4 linked regions of the Coturnix japonica genome follow. The protein of the gene in region 4 interacts with the protein of the main gene of each other region in a biochemical or structural test. Links are inferred from orthologs where the notes say so. Each region holds a gene or a part of one and is shown on either strand. Other genes may lie near its edges.

What was found.
Region 1: the proteins of CDC34 (region 4) and CUL1 form a complex in vitro, tested with the Homo sapiens proteins (3 studies listed by BioGRID). The link is inferred for Coturnix japonica from reciprocal best matches to the Homo sapiens genes CDC34 and CUL1.
Region 2: the proteins of CDC34 (region 4) and FBXW11 form a complex in vitro, tested with the Homo sapiens proteins (2 studies listed by BioGRID). The link is inferred for Coturnix japonica from reciprocal best matches to the Homo sapiens genes CDC34 and FBXW11.
Region 3: the proteins of CDC34 (region 4) and WWP2 form a complex in vitro, tested with the Homo sapiens proteins (2 studies listed by BioGRID, with this or other methods). The link is inferred for Coturnix japonica from reciprocal best matches to the Homo sapiens genes CDC34 and WWP2.

The regions. Positions count from the first base shown.
Region 1 is NC_029517.1:75,356,460-75,360,610, reverse strand, and holds the start of CUL1 (cullin-1), read right to left. Parts: upstream 2,806-4,151; 5' UTR 2,665-2,805; intron 2,659-2,664; exon of another isoform or gene 2,398-2,658; intron 1-2,397. UniProt on the Homo sapiens protein: Core component of multiple cullin-RING-based SCF (SKP1-CUL1-F-box protein) E3 ubiquitin-protein ligase complexes, which mediate the ubiquitination of proteins involved in cell cycle progression, signal transduction and transcription.
Region 2 is NC_029528.1:13,937,711-13,941,821, forward strand, and holds the start of FBXW11 (F-box/WD repeat-containing protein 11), read right to left. Parts: upstream 2,806-4,111; 5' UTR 2,776-2,805; coding exon 2,731-2,775; intron 1-2,730.
Region 3 is NC_029526.1:16,981,903-16,986,189, forward strand, and holds the start of WWP2 (NEDD4-like E3 ubiquitin-protein ligase WWP2), read left to right. Parts: upstream 1-1,482; 5' UTR 1,483-1,511; coding exon of another isoform or gene 1,512-1,554; intron 1,555-3,443; exon of another isoform or gene 3,444-3,444; 5' UTR 3,445-3,459; coding exon 3,460-3,529; intron 3,530-3,885; exon of another isoform or gene 3,886-3,965; intron 3,966-4,144; coding exon 4,145-4,287. Other genes in the region: RNA-binding protein NOB1, read right to left, coding at 235-459, 533-670, 754-825, 901-1,034, 1,121-1,253, 1,348-1,419. UniProt on the Homo sapiens protein: E3 ubiquitin-protein ligase which accepts ubiquitin from an E2 ubiquitin-conjugating enzyme in the form of a thioester and then directly transfers the ubiquitin to targeted substrates.
Region 4 is NC_029543.1:1,770,802-1,773,657, reverse strand, and holds the end of CDC34 (ubiquitin-conjugating enzyme E2 R1), read right to left. Parts: intron 2,749-2,856; coding exon 2,662-2,748; intron 2,160-2,661; coding exon 2,062-2,159; intron 1,931-2,061; coding exon 1,796-1,930; intron 1,335-1,795; coding exon 1,124-1,334; 3' UTR 510-1,123; downstream 1-509. UniProt on the Homo sapiens protein: E2 ubiquitin-conjugating enzyme that accepts ubiquitin from an E1 ubiquitin-activating protein, and catalyzes its covalent attachment to other proteins by an E3 ubiquitin-protein ligase complex. In vitro catalyzes 'Lys-48'-linked polyubiquitination.

The DNA of each region.
Region 1 (4,151 bases), on a different chromosome or scaffold from region 4:
CTTAAATTAATTTCCATGCTTTATAGAGATGCAATGAAATTTTCTCATGCAGTGAAGAAGTGAAAGGAGGATAACTTAGTTGAGCCAGCACAATCAATTTGTCACTCAAGCAGTGAAATGTGTACATCTAATCCAGATGCCTAAACTATAAACTATTCTCAGTATAGAATAGACAAATGAAAAAGTTTCCTCCAGAGGGGTAATTCAGCTCAGAAGCCCAGTTCAGTTGTTCCGAGTTGTTGTGAAGTTACTAGGTTGCATATATTCAGTTGAGAAAACAAGATCAAGTTGTCAAAATTAGACAACAAACTAGGATTCTAAAGTTAAGTACAGAAATTGCTCTCTAGATTCATTGTATTCCCTACACTGCCACAGGACAGCAGTCTTTCGTGTTTAAATCATACCTCAAATACATCACAACAGTAAGATTGGTTACATCTCATAATCTTAAGAGCCAAACCAAGTAAGACAGACATAAAATAAGAAATCTGGTAACAACTCCTAAGAAACAAGAAAAATCACAAAGCACAGGGAAAGACTACTTTACAGCAGTTGCCAGCAGATACCAAGTGCCAATGCAACACACTCCTTACCATCGAATGACAGTACTGCAGCAGCTCACTACCAGCATATCTGGAGCAAAAACCATGTACCATGGTACTGAAGACGTACTTTACTAATTCCTCAAAGCAAATGTATTCTTAACACACCCTGTATCTCATAAGTACCAACTTAAAGTATTACAACAATTCAGCATAACGAACGGTATTTAGCATAATTTAAGTTACACAGCCACCAGTTATTTCTGCTCCCCATGAAAACCATTTGGCAGGACTAAGAGGATGGTCCTAAGACGGATTTTTTTTTTCTAGACTAGCATTGCATTAGGTATGTATTAAAGTGATGATATATGAAAGCATTTATTGACAAAAGGCTATTAAGGAAGTCAGTAACAAACAAATGAAAACAAAGTAAGGTGAAACAAGTAAATAATCTATAATCGCCTAACTCTTGAAGATGAATTAAGCTCACATTCCTCTCTTGTCAAAGGCACAGCTGGAGGACTTAAAGTGCAGGGGACAGCAAGTGAGCCTAGAAAGGAAAGGAATATGCCAAAGGAAAAAGAGGTGAGATGACAAAGAAGATTTTTAAGACAAGAAAGTAAGATCAAAAGGGAAGGGGAAAAAAAAAAATCACGGTGAAGGAAATATGGGAGGAAGAAAGCTGAAACAGGAAAGGTGATAAGGGAATGGTGATGATTAAGAAATAGGGCTGAAAAGGAAATAAGGATTGGAAAAGGATCACAATAAGGACACAGCTTTCAGTGGCAGACAAAGTTACTGGGAGACAAAGGAGGTGATTAGCTGCAATGACAAACAACTGCAAGACTTGCCATCTGGATGGCGGCAATAAATACATGAACAAACAAACAGGTAAGAGGTTATTTGGGGGGGGAGAGAGGGGTGAGAAAGGGAGGAGGGTTGGGAAACTCTCCCTGGGAACACAACATTAGGGAGCTACAAGGGAAAACCTGGGGCACAGTCCTTGATAAAGCTGAGGAAGATAACAACAATGGAAATAAATACTTTAGAGATGACAGTAAGGGGTTGGGTGGGTACACAAGAGAAATTTGGCTACAACCACACGGGTCCTATATAGATCTGAGTGCTACTAGTTTTGAGATGGAAACAACAGAATGAAAGGTAACCACGTGAAGAATAAAGGAGAAAAGAGAAGTGAAGACAGACAAAAAACTAACACTGGTGATGAGACAAGCTACGGGAAAAGCTCCAGAGGCCTCAGGATAGAATAGATGAGGCCTAGAATGAACACGGCCTGGGCATACAGTCCTAGGGCCAGTGAGAAGGCAGAAGAGGTGTAGGGCTCTGGAAAGAAGGGCCCGAAGGGTCAGGATCTGAGAGATGTAAGTCTAAAGCAACGACCGTGGCGGTCCAGGCCACGTGCCGGGAAGGGCTGGGAGGCGGGAGGGAGGTCGGGCCGACCTCGATAGGGGAGCGGGCAGGGCAGACAACAGGCAGATCTGTGAGGCGAGGGTTGCCGGCAGCGCGGGCCCTCGCGGTCCGGCGGGGTGATGTAATTCCAGTGCGTAGTTAGAGGCCTCCCGCACCGGCCCGCAACTTCGAGGCCGGAGCTCCGAACCCGTCAGACAACGACTCCCGCTGTCTCTGGAACGCGGTGTACGCCCGGTAGAAGAAAGGCGGGCGGGCAGGTCGGCCAGGCCCAGCCCCTCCTGCTCCCGCGCTCCTCGCTGTATGACTCAAAGCCGGGCCACGCTTCGTTAAGCCCTTGTCGCCTTGGCCCAGCTGAGCTTCCCCACCCGGCCCGGCTGCGTTGCTGGCCTGGCTGCGACACAGCACCGCGGCCTCCCGCACTCACCAGTATCGCACGTCCCGCAGAGTCAGGCCGCGTCCGCCCGCCCCTTCCGCTACCGCCGAGCCCAGATCCGCCACCGCCTCCCCTCAGCACGGCTCAGAAAGCGAGAAGGCACCGCCCCCCTTAGCTTGGCTCGGAGCGACCCACGGCGTGGAGAGGACCCAACCCGTGGGTAGACGCGAAGTCTACCCAGCCCGCTGCCGCCTCCTCTCCTCTCCCTAAAGGCGGGCAAAGGGCTAGCAAAGACAGCGCAGCAGAACCTCTCCCCACCTAAGCCACCGGAAGAGATCAGCGTAGTTTGAGCCTCGAGTCCGGAACTAAAAATAACCGGCAGCCACGGCGCCCGCGCGGGGAGGAGTTGCCCTTTGGTTGTGCTGCTCTCCACAAGCCTGCCTTCTCCGGCTGCCCCGGCGGAAATGACAAAGGCAGGTGTGTGTGCAGCCGGAAATGACAACGGCGCAGTCGTTCAACAGGGTCGCGTTGATGGTCCGAGTCTTCTGGCCTGTACGTTTTACTGCCCTAAAGGGTCATCCTGCTTGGCCCCCCAGAGTTAGGCCGCTTCTAGAGCCATCAGGTGCACTCATTTTCCAGTCTGAAATGCTAAGACTTGTATCTGCTCATGATGAAATCGCAAATGCTTTTTTATTTATTAGATACTAATTCTTAGCTTGTCCTAGGCCACTGAATTACGTGGTATCCAGTGTTAAAGTTACAATGAACACTGAAGAAAATCCCCATCTGACATTACCAAATTAAACTGCTCTCATCTGAACGGCATCAAGAGTCACTAGTTTCGAGTAAACACTGAATTGAAAAATGGCAGTTAAAGAGAAATGGTCACAATGACCTAAATATAATTAGAAATTGTAATGTTATTGTGAATTTCATGAAAAACAAAAAAACAACTCAGAAAACAACATTGCGGAGAGAATAGGGTAGAAATTCTTTGAAAGAAAAGTTTAATCATTCAGTTTGTGAGCTGACGGGGAGATGCTTGAAGGTCTGATAGAGAAATAGATCATGAACTAAATAATGATGTTTGTGATCTTTGAACAAATGTATATGAATTTAATGCAAGATAAAATAAAAACTGCTAGTTTTTGTATCATTGTCACATGGATTACAAGAGGGGCAGTTAATTTTCAAAAGCATGGGATGGATAATGCAAAATCATGCCAAAATTAAGCCAAGTTATTGAAATCAAGGTTTTGGAAAAGTAATGCTTTGGACTCTGTCCTGCCTTATAATTCCGCAGTCCTCAGGAATAAACATTCATGGTACTGTGATGTAAAGGAGGAGGGTGGGATTAATGTATCCTCTGTATTTTGCTTCATCATGGCTCTCTGTACTGTATCCTCCCAAACTATGGGGACTTTCCTTGCCAAGATGAAGTCAAATGCTGGTCTGAATTATACCAAAAGATACTTAAAGCAACTTGCATGGAATCATTAAAAAAGTTTTTTATGAAGAATTCTGCCCAGAAAAGTTTTTTATGAAGAATTCTGCCCATAAGGAGCACTAGCTCCTTATGAAGAGAGAAATGGGGAAGCAACAGAGAGAAACAAAAGATTTCTTTGTTCTCCAAAATGTTTCACTTGCATGCTGGCTCCAGCAGCTTCACACCATTTTCAAAAACTGGCCTTAGAATCATAGAATCGCCAAGGTTGGAAAACACCTAAAAGATCATCCAGTCCAACCATTCACCTATAACCAATAGCTCTCACTAAACCATGTCCCTCAACACAACATCCAGTCGT
Region 2 (4,111 bases), on a different chromosome or scaffold from region 4:
AGAACGTTATAGGCCTATGGAGACACATCCAGCTGTTGTATGTGTGTTTCCAACCAGAACGCTCAGGTTTGTTTTGCACTGTAAAGCTTCAGTTTGGGGGCATGTCCAGCCACAGTGAGCCAGGGAATCCTGTGTAGCACCAGCACCATCTCCACAAGTTGCTGCTGGTAAAGTGGTCCTGTGAGAAACACTTTGCTCTGAGATGTTGTTACCTTGTGAGTATGAAGACCTGCAGCTCCCATCAAAGTTCTGCCAGGAGAAACTGAAAGACTTTTGGCAACATACTGAATGTTGAAGTTCTTCACTTATATTATTTACGGAGGCACTTAAAACACTGGACAACGTAATGAGAGAGACATTCTAGACAACAAAGGTGCCACATGAAGGAGAATATTTTCCATATATGTAACTTTAAGATACAAGTTCCAACGCAATGTAAACAAGCACACGGTGGTGGTGCTGCTGAGCACAGCCCTCCATCCCACACATTTCACAAATCATTTGTTGTCAGTATTTCACCTTCAGAAAGTCCAATCCTTTAGAAGAGCACAAAGGTTATTGTGATTTGATTTCACAGAGAAAACCAAAACCAGGCAAAGAAAGAGCCCTTTCCATCCTTTTGGCATCCCTCCATCTGTTCTGGATTACCTCCTTACTCCTCATTGCCAATCGTTCACCCGCTCACACAGTGCATCCGATGGACATAGCACCCCCCGAGTGCCAGCACAGGGCCAAGTACCATATCCCATGTACAACTGAAAGCTATGGCAAGTCCTAACTACATCACCTGCTCATCGCTGTTAAAAGGCTAACGATGTGATTTCCAGAGCTAGAACATAATAGCTAAAGCCTCCAGCTGCCCTAAGATGGCAACTTCAGAACATGAGCTAGAACTTCATACAGCAAATAGAAGTTGTCACTCTGAAGCCTTAAGATATTTCTCTTAGATTTCAGCTTTAAAAATAGACCGGGGTTATTTCTATGACTGATTTTGCCTTAAATAAAATGATCCATCCAGCACAGGAAAAGTTGAGTGTTAGAACACCCTGTTCTCTGACTTTATGCAACTAACGTGTTGATACATTATCTCTGGTTTATCAGCTACTCAGAACTCCTGCATCATCCATCTGCACCTGCAGTACTGAGGACTCAGCCCTGGCAATGGAAGGCACTGAGCAAGCACCCAAAGGGCTGCAAATACAGCCTGCTGGATCAATGGGAGGCTGGAACAGTAAGCAAGCAGCCATTCTTCTTCCTGACAATAACACTCATGAACAGAGGAGCATCCCATCAGGTTTTGCACCTTCATCTCTGGCTTTGCAATGTTTAATGCTGCTATGAACAACAAGAGGCTGCACAGAACACTGTGATTGCTGGCTGAAAACTGCCAACACAACTTCTGCTCTCTTTGTTTCAAACCTTCCATGGAATCTCATCTGCCACCACAGCAGAGCACAGAACCTTTGTGGCAGGGCTTCATTTCAATGGGCTTTTGGTGACTCCAGGGAAGCATTTCTGCTCAGACACAAGTGGTTCTGCACAAGCCTTTGGAAGGATCAAAATTAAACTACCAGCTGTGCTTTATGGAATAGCGATTTCTATTGGGAATTAATTGTTCACCCTACTAAAATTTTATACTGTTTTGAAAAAGGAAAAAACTTGTTTCTTAAGCCTCCTATGTAATGAAAATCTTAATATCCCACCCATATTTGACTTTCCCTTTGCACATTTCCAAGATGCAGCTGTAAAAGGGGACAGGGCCACTATCAGCACTGAGAAATTCCATTTGCTTCTACCCATTGGTAATTTGGCCAAAAGCAGGGAACGCTTCTCAAAGGGCAACCAAGAAACCTGAGCGAGGCCACGATGCCTTCCAGCCTCATCACTGCAGCTCACACACCCCAAGGCCAGGCGGTATTTGCAACCCACTGGCACAGTTAGGAAAGCACTGCTGGGATGCACTGCCTGTGTTGGAAATGCATTAGGCAGTTTTCTGTTGCTGGAACACACACCTGCACCGCAGCCACTCTGATGTCGCTGGCAATGAGTGAGCTCACCAAATAAGCTGGGACAGCGGGATCACCCAGAACGGCCTTTAAGCTTCTGGCCTCAGCGATGCACAGTGAGCACTGAAACGCCGTTTCCTTTTGACTTTCCATCTCTGCATCCCCACAGTAATACCAGAGGGCAGCTGGCATTTCGCAGAGCTGCTGGGTGAGCCCCGTTACACCCAGCTCCCCTTCAGTGCGCAATAACAGCCCACTCCAGCTGTTTTTTACCATCCAGCTCCATTGCGTTGTGCAGGATCCCACCAGCAGCATCACAGCACGCACACAGCGTTATGAAGCAGCGAACATGGCTGTGTTGGTGATTCCATTCCTCACAGCTTAGAGCTGCTCCCCCCATTAACAGCAATTCGGGGCCTTTCGCTTGGGCGGCCGGAAGGGCAGCTCCCCCCAGGCCCGGAATTCCGGACCTTCCCCCCCTTTATTTGGATACACGTTTATCCATCAGTTTCTCTATTCCTTCAATTACTCATTGGTTTTTATAACGTTTTTTTTTTACCTCACGGCTCCCAATGGAGGATGAGGGAGAGGCGCGAGGCCGGGCCAGGCCCGCAGCCACCTCCGAGCAGCGCCGGGCCCCTCAGGCCCACACGGAGCGAGCTGGCCGGGCCCTACGGGAGGCTGAGGAGGAGGAGAAGGAGGAGAAGGAGGGGGGGGGACTCACCATCAGCTCGATAGTCTTGTCCTCGATCACCGAGTCGGGCTCCATAGCGGCGGTAGCTCCGCGCGGTGCCCGCCCCCCCCCCCCCCCCCCCCGCCCCCCCCCCCCCCGCCCCGCCACCCGCCAGGCCCCGCCGCCGCTCGCCCACCCCCCCTCCAAGCGCGCGCACACGCACGCACGTACGTGACGTCACGACGCCCGGAAGAACATGGCGCCCGCTTCCTAGTAGCGGACCACAATTCCCAGCAGCCCCCCGCGGTGCCGAGCTCCTATTGGCTGCTGGGGGCTCCCCGGGAAGGCGGCCTGGGTGTGTGGAGAGAAAATGGCGCCGGGCTGGGAAACACCACAGGTGTACGGTGCCATCATTGTGATGGGAGAGCACGCGGTGTCACCTCAGCCCTCACCACAACAATTAACATCACCATGGAACACATGTCACACAGCCCCTCCTGCTACAGCTGGGCTGGATTCCTCACACCTTCACACCGCGGCCTACAAGTAACGACTGGCAGGTGAAGCTGTTCCACGGTTGCTGTAGAGATCCTGAGCTGCTCACTGTCATTGTTCGCTCCAGGGACCAAATGGAACAGCAGATATGAGACAGAGCGAGCATAAAGTGCGTTAATTCATAATACAGGGAAGAGATGTGCTGATGGGGACAATGCTGTGTCACAGAGCTGCCTACAGAACTACACTGCACCTAGACACTGTGCTGGGTGTGCAAGGCATTGAACACCATTGTGCTGTATGGACAAGGCATTGAACACCACTGTGCTGTATGGACAAGGCATTGAACACCACTGTGCTGTGTGTACGAGGCATTGAACATCACTGTGCTGTGTGTACGAGGCATTGAACATCACTGTGCTGTGTGTGCAAGGCATTGAACACCATTGTGCTGTGTGTATGAGGCATTGAGCATCACTGTGCTGTATGGACAAGGCACTGAACATCACTGTGCTGTGTGGACAAGGCATTGAACACCACTGTGCTGTATGGACAAGGCATTGAACACCACTGTGCTGTATGGACAAGGCATTGAACACCACTGTGCTGTGTGTGCAAGGCATTGAACACTGTGCTGTGTGTGCAAGGCATTGAACAACACTGTGCTGTATGGACAAGGCATTGAACACCACTGTGCTGTGTGGACAAGGCACTGATGTGTTGTCCTCTGAAAGCACAAAGCATTGCTGAATGTGTAAGAAAAGAAATAGGCAAATGTTCCCCCAGAGGTTTGAAGGGAGGTGAATCCGTGGCCTGGCAGCCTGCATGGAGCTGTGGTTAATGCATGAAGAGCTACAGGAGCACTTGCAGGACTCTGAAGCTGTTGGAGGAAACCTGGGCAAAAAGGTGTAACTTGCATCAACGCTGGTAGAAAAAT
Region 3 (4,287 bases), on a different chromosome or scaffold from region 4:
AGATTCCATGAGCCCAGGAGCTCCACCCAAGTTTGCCTGCCCATGCAGTGAGAGGCCAAGAGCAGCAAAGCCAATGGGCTCTGGGTAGGCGCTGCTGTGGTACAGCTGCTGCTGTGGGGAGAACTGACAGCTTTGAACACAAAAGAAAGCATCGCAGGTTGACTTTTGTATGGTACGTGTGTGGGATCAACCGAGCTGTGTGCTGGAGACAGGGCCATGTGAGGCAGCACTCACCTGCATGGAGAAGTCTGTGGTGACACAGCCGACCTGCACGTTGGCAGGCACGGTGTCGCAGTGCCCCGTGTCCTGCTGGACCTGCTTGAGGTTGCTTGGCGTTATCCAGCCCTCGTCATCATCGCTCCCTTCATCCTCATCCTCTTCCTCCTCGGCACCATCCCCATCCTCTGAGCTCTGACACTCGTCGGTGGCTGCCGGGCTGCTGGAGGTGCTGTGTGTTTTCTGCAGAGATGGGCAGTTGGTGCCGTGTATGCCAATAAGCTGGGATGTGGGGCAGTGAGCACAGCAGCCTCACCAGCATCTCCTGGAGCTCGTCCTCGATGTCGGGCAGGGGCAGCCTCCAGTAGAGGAAGGAGCTGAACTCAGCACTGTCAGGCAGCTCCGTGCTGCTGTCGTGGCCGTGCTGCTGCTGGCTCTTCCGCGGGCGTTTGTGCTGGGGGAGACACAGCAGCCCCGGGCTCCACATCCCCGCTCCTCTCACCCCTCACCCCCCTTTGTCCCCATCACCCCCTGTACCTTGGTGGGCAGGTGGAAGCCGGCGATGTGCAGCGTGGCCTCGGGGTGACACGGGCTGGAGCTGAGCTGCACCTGTGGGCAGCGCCGGGATCAGCAGCGCCCGCAGCCCAGCCCAGCCCCATCCCATCCCATCCCATCCCCCGTTACCTTGTCCGGGGGCTGCAGGCGGACGCTGCCCGGCCCTGTGATCTCGTCCTGCATCTGGCAGGTGAGCGCCAGCACCTGCAGGTCGGCGGCCGACAGGCTGGGGAAGTCCCCGGTGCGCTTGGCGAACTCGGTGACTGCGGGACGGGGCGGAAGAGGCCGTTACCCCCATTATCCGTTACCCGTTATCCGTTACCCATTATACCCGCCCCCCGTCACTCACCGTTCCGCACATACTCAGCCCTCGGTCGGCGGAGCTGCAGTTCGTAGGGCAGCGCTGCCAGGCGGCGCCGCGCCCGCCGGTCCCGGATCTCGGCCAGCACCTCGGGCACGGTGTACACGCTGCGCGCCACGTCCTGCGGGCGGAACAAGGCTCAGCCCGTGCCCGGAGCGGCCCCCAGCCCCGACCCCGTTCCGGACCCGCCCCATCCGGCCGCTCTCGGTCCGTACCTGCAGCGCGGCACCGCTCAGGAACGCGCCGGTATCGGCCACCACGTGCGGCACGCGGCCCATGTCCGCCATGTTGGCTGCGTCCCTCTGCGCCGCGCGGGGGCTGACGGGAGGGCGGCGCGGGGCAACTTCCGGGCGGCGCGGTCAGGTGCGCGCGGGGTCACATGACGGCGGAGCTGCAACCGGAAGCGGGAGAGCGGAGGAGCGGTGAGAGCGGGAGGGGAGACGGTGTAACGGGGTGTAACGGGGTGTAACGGGGTGTAACGGGGTGTGATGTGACGGTGTAACGGTGTAACGGGGTGTGATGGGGTGTAACGGTGTAACGGTCGGGCTGCGGGCAGCTGCTCCGCTCCGCTTTACCGGCAGCGGCTGCCGGCCAACAGAGGGGAAGCCCGGCGGGGCGGCCCGTGGCACCGGCTGTGGGGGCTGAGGGGCGGCACCAGGTACCGGGCTCCGGGCGCTGCCTCACACCGCGCGGTGCCGGTTCGGTCCCGGTTCCCGGTTTTGGGCGCAGCTCTGAAGCTCAGCGCGGTGCAGCGCTGCGCCACGGCTGTGCCGGTGTCCTGATGTCCCGGTGTCCTGATGTCCCGGTGTCCTGATGTCCCGGTGTCCTGGCTGTCCCCGCTGTCCCGTGCCGGGCGCTGCCCGGTGTCCCGCAGTGCGGGTCGCGGTGGCCGCTCTCGGGCGGGTGACGCTGCGGCTCCACGGGACACAGCGGGAGAGGACGAGGCTCCGTGTGTGCGGTGACGGGTTGGAACGAACGAGTTTGGTGAGCGATGAGTCCGAGCCGGGTCGGCTCCCGTGGCAAAGCCTGGGCTGCGCTGTGACTGTGCACTGCGGGGCTGCGGGTGGTGCCTGAATCTGACGGAGCAGCGCGGAGCCCCAGGTCCCGGTGAGGTGGGTCTGTGCTGTGGGGCTGTTGGTGGAGCAACAAGTGCCCCCGGGAGGAGCTCAGTGCTCACTGCCCCATCCTGCTCAGGGCTCGGTGTCAGGCCACCTCGTTCCGTGGGCCTGGATAGTGTTTGTAATGAAGTAAGTGATGGTGTGGAATCAGCCAGCAGTATCCTGGGGGGTGATCTGTGGGCCGGAGTAATGGAGTTGGAATAACTTGTAATAGTATCACAGTCAGTCTTGGACATGACCACAGCCTGTAGCTGGCTCCCAGCTGCCAGAGAGGATGGAGGGGCTCCTTGCCATCCCCTGCTCACCTCTCGTACCCCAGCAGTGCATTCCCAGGGAGGCTGTGTGAGGCCTCCAGGCTCAGCCTTGTGCCAGGCTGGTGTCAGGAGGGGTTTAAAAGGAGTTGGCAGGGGTTGAGGAGGGCCCCGTGAGAGCAGTGTGGTACCATAGCTGACTGCTGGTGTCAGACTGAGCACCTCGTGCTCCTGCGTGATCCCTGACCATGGGGTTTTCCTTTATGGTCAGGCATTTCAGTAGGAAACCTGCAGCCTCTGCCACGTGGGGAGCTCCAGGGGAAAGCTGTGGCAGATGGGGGAGAGGGAAGTGCTGTGGCTGCTGTCAGCGATGCAGTGCCCCAGCAAAAGGAAGTGGTGAGTGCTGGGAAGGTGCAGGCCGTGCTGGGGTCCGGCCCTGAGGTTGGAGAGTCTGCAATTCCCCTCCGTGCTGAGCTGCAGCTCCGCAGTGTGTTGGAGTAGGGAGGACCAATTTTTCCATGGTGTTTTGCTGCCTGGCAGCCACTTGGGCTGTCCTTGAGGGACATGCAGCTCTGCTGTGCTGTGAGCAGACCCAGCTCATGGTGCTGCTGTCTCATCCTTTCCAAGGGATCTCACGTACCATACTGTGCCCTCACCTGCAGACTTTGGTTTTCGTTTGGTGTTCGGCAGCACTGGAGGTTGCTCTGTCCCCATGGCCAGAGTCAGCAGCAGCCTCGGGGTTGGGGTGAGGTGGAGTTGCTCACAAGGCTGCCTGCAGGCTGCTGCCCCAAGTGGCTGTGTGCTCTTATGGCTGTGTGCTCTTATGGCTGTGTGCTCTTATGGCTGTGTGCTCTTTCTGCTGTGTGCAGTGCTGGACACAGGATATCTTTGGGCCCCAACTCAGCGTCGGTGCTGAGTCCCCATCTCTCTCTCTCCCTTCCAGGCCGGGGGTGATGACATGGCCTCTGCAAGCTCCAGCAGGGCCAGGGCAGGGCTGCCCTGTGAGAAGTCCCAGCTCTCTGTGAAAGGTGAGTCCTGTGCAGGGCTGGGAGCTGGGCTTTGGGTGCACCCAGGTGGGGGACCTTGGGGTTCCTTGGTGGGGAGGGGCCGTGTTCCAGGCTCTGTGGTGCATGCAGCCTTTACCAGGCCTTGGTGCTGGTGGCCTCTGGAAGCAGAGCGCTGCCTGTGGGGGGCTCTGCCTCCTCTGCTGGGATGTGGCTCCGTGGCTCTGCCAGGGCGGTGTTTGTCCTGCAGTGGCCACGAGATGGCTCCAGATGCTCGGAGCTGTGTCCCAGCACTGCCCACAGCCCTCTGGTCCAGGCATGGCCATCTAGAGAGTGGCAATTCTCCCTGGCCAACTGCCTCCTTCCCTTGGCTCCTGCAGAACCCCTGTGTCCCTGGCTTGTCATAGAGCACGGGCTTTCTCATCAGGCTCCTGGGGCTGGGAGCAGCTGAACAGGGATGGTAGGTGTCTGTGGGGTGAAATGGGAGTGGGTGAAGCATGAGCGGGGCTGTCTCAGCCCAGTGCTGTCCCCTTCCCAGAGCATTGGTGGCAGAGATGGGGTGTGTAAGTGTGAGGCAGTGTCCTCGGGCAGGGGCTGTGGCTGTGGGGCTGCTGCTTGACCCCTGCCTGTCCCACTCAGTGGTGTCCGTGAAGCCCAAGGCCCACAGCCGCCAGTCACGGATGAACTGCTACGTGGAGGTGGCGGGCGATGGGCTGCCCAGCGAGACCAAGAAGACGGGAAAGCAGATGGGGAGCTCTGAGCTGCTGTGGAATGAGATCCTC
Region 4 (2,856 bases):
TGATGTTGTGGAGCACAGAGGCCCCAGCCCCAAGAAACAAGCAGCAGTGCTTCCCCCCCCACCCCCATCCACCCCAATGAGGCACAGGTTGGAGCAGGGCAGAGGCCAACACAGCCCTAACAAGGCACACAAACCTGGCCATTCCTGGCCTGCAGGGCTTGGGGTGCTGCCCAGCTGCACCCACATCAGAGAAAGCAGCAAGAAACCAGGCAGCAAAAGGGCATTGCTCCAAGTTGAGGCATATGGGTGATGCCTGGGCAGGTCTGGGGCACACAGAGTTGCCTGCGCACATCAAACTCTCTGGGTTAAACCTCCCCAGTCTACAGAGGGAAGGAGAGATGAGGGTTATTGGAGGAACCCTCCCAACCCCACCATCCATCTGCAGCCTGAGCTCATCCAAAGTTGGCCTCAGGCACCCACACAGCTGTTCCCTTAAACTACTTTATTAAATAGTTTCCAAAAAAAAGAGGAAAAATAAAAACAAAACAACAAACAGAAGCAGAAAGGACTCCAAATTATCCCATCCCTTTAACTAGTTAAAAGCTACAAACAGTCCAGACCTGTGCCCTAGCAGTGTGGGAAGGGCAGAAAAAGGGTCCCACAGGGGACAGTCCTAAATCAGGCAGGACAACCTTGCCCCAGGGAAGGGGGCAGTTGTGCCCATCCTGCAGCCCTTCCTATTCAGCCAGTTTAATGACTGTAGAAAGCCACAGCAAATCTTACATGCTTTCTACCAAAGCGACCACTCACCAGCTTCACAGCCTCCACAAAAAGAGCTGATCGTGTCCAAACAACTCCAGCTTCCCCATAACTCCTCAACCCAGCCAGAAGCACAAGCTCCCTGCTTTTTGTGCATTTGCAAATACCCCCAACACGACTTTTCCCATTCCCACCCACCCCCCCTCTCCATGAGTTCATAAAATAGGGTTTGTTTCTGTTTTTTGCTTCCTCCCCCCCCTTTACAATGACAGCAGGTGGGGTTTCCTTTACAACAGCAGAACAGTCTCCCTGTGAGGTAGAGTTAATTTCAGGGCTGACAGATGCTAAATTCAAACCAGTTCGTCCTAGTTGAGGTAAAATTCAGTAGTTTACAGCACTTTTTTTTTGCAGTGCCAGAGGGCCATCAAGATTCCTCATTGCCAGAGTCATCCTCATCACCATAGCAGTTGTCTGCTTCCTCTTCCATCTCATCATCCTCGTAATAGTCATCATAAAAGAGGTCTGAGCCCTCATCTGGGGCCGGAGTCTTGGTCTTTACACAATACTCTGCCAGTGTGGTGGGGACCTTCACGCCATCCCGCTCAGCATCCACTTTTGTTCCCAGGACTTGTTTTCTGGAGGGGGGAGAAGCAGATGAGGTGAGAACAGGGGCTTTGCACAGCACAGCTTGGGGATGCAGCTCTTTTTCCCTCTTGTGCACCAGCTCACACTCACTCACCACAAAGGACTGGGAGTGTCCCATGCTCTGAGGGCCCCTGTTGCCATGCTAAGGTTGGCCAGCCCCAAACCACAGACCTGGCAGCAATGCAGTGCTGCATACCCACACCCTCAGCTTTAGAGCTGAAAAGAGCCAGGGCTCACATCAGCAACAAAGCTGAGCACGTAACACAGCCAAACCGCTCCTCGAGAGCCACACTCAGAGCCAGAATCCTTCTACCCAAGGAGCCTGCAGATAAGACTGAACAGGGCTGCGCCCTCAGGATCTCATTATCCCATGTAACACAACCACAGCTCAGTTAAGCCCTCTCAAAGTCTATAGGAATGCTGCTGGGTCTCAGCCCAGCTCCCCACACACCTGATGATGTCTGTGTACTCCCGATCCTTTCCTTTGCTCTCCTTCCATTTGCGGTACATCACAGAGGCATCAACGTTGGCTGGAGAAAACGTGTTGGGTTCATTCAGCAATGAGATCACGCTCAGAAGAATGGTCCTGGCAGCCAAGAGACACAAGCAAGTAAGAACCAAGGCAGGTCTGCAGCTGCCTGCAACCCAATGGATGCCAGCAGCCTCCCACAGGTCCCCACTCACTCACTCCCTCCCTCTCCCCAGCCCTGCCCATACCTCACGTTCTGTGTAGGGTTCCACCGCTCGGATGGCAGCTCCCCACTCTGTGGATCATCCACTGGTGGGTGCAGGATGGAGATGCAGACATCACCAGTCTGAAAGTACATAGAAAAATAGCATTAGTAGGGGCTGCTGCCCCAAGCACGGCCCAGAAGCAGCTCATCCTCTGCCCCAGCACCCTGGGCTGCTCTTTCCTTTGGCTTAAGACATGTGAGGAAGTCCCAGCCTGTGCTTTTGTTACCTCGAATGGGATATTGAAAAGGCTACCACGCTGTCTGCACTCTCAGGCATTGGATCAACACCCTGACACTACTGGTATGATACAGATGGGGCTGCCAAGTCACCAGCTGACATTGAACACGTGGCGCAGCTCTCCCGGTGCTCCTCAATGGCTTCAAGCAGCAGCTGCTCCACTGCAGGGCCCAGCAAGCCACCACTCTGCATCCACCCTTAGCTCAAGCACCACGACCTTGCTGCATAAGCATGGAGCCCTTATGCCTGACTAACCTGGAACCAGTTTCAGGTTAGAGGACAGGCTGTCCTAAAAGCCTCAGTCAGCTGTGGTTCCAATACATGAAGCTATTCCAGAACACCTACCTCATAGATGTTGGGGTGCCACATTTTGGTCAAGAACCTGAACGCAGGTGGAGAATAGGGGTAGTCGATGGGAAATCGGAGACGGGCCTGCAAGGAAATGATAAGAAGTCATCACTGTTGGTTTCTGAAAAGGAACGGAAAGAAGCCACATAACTCTGACTACCACCAGGGTAAAGAAGCCTCTGTCAACCCCCC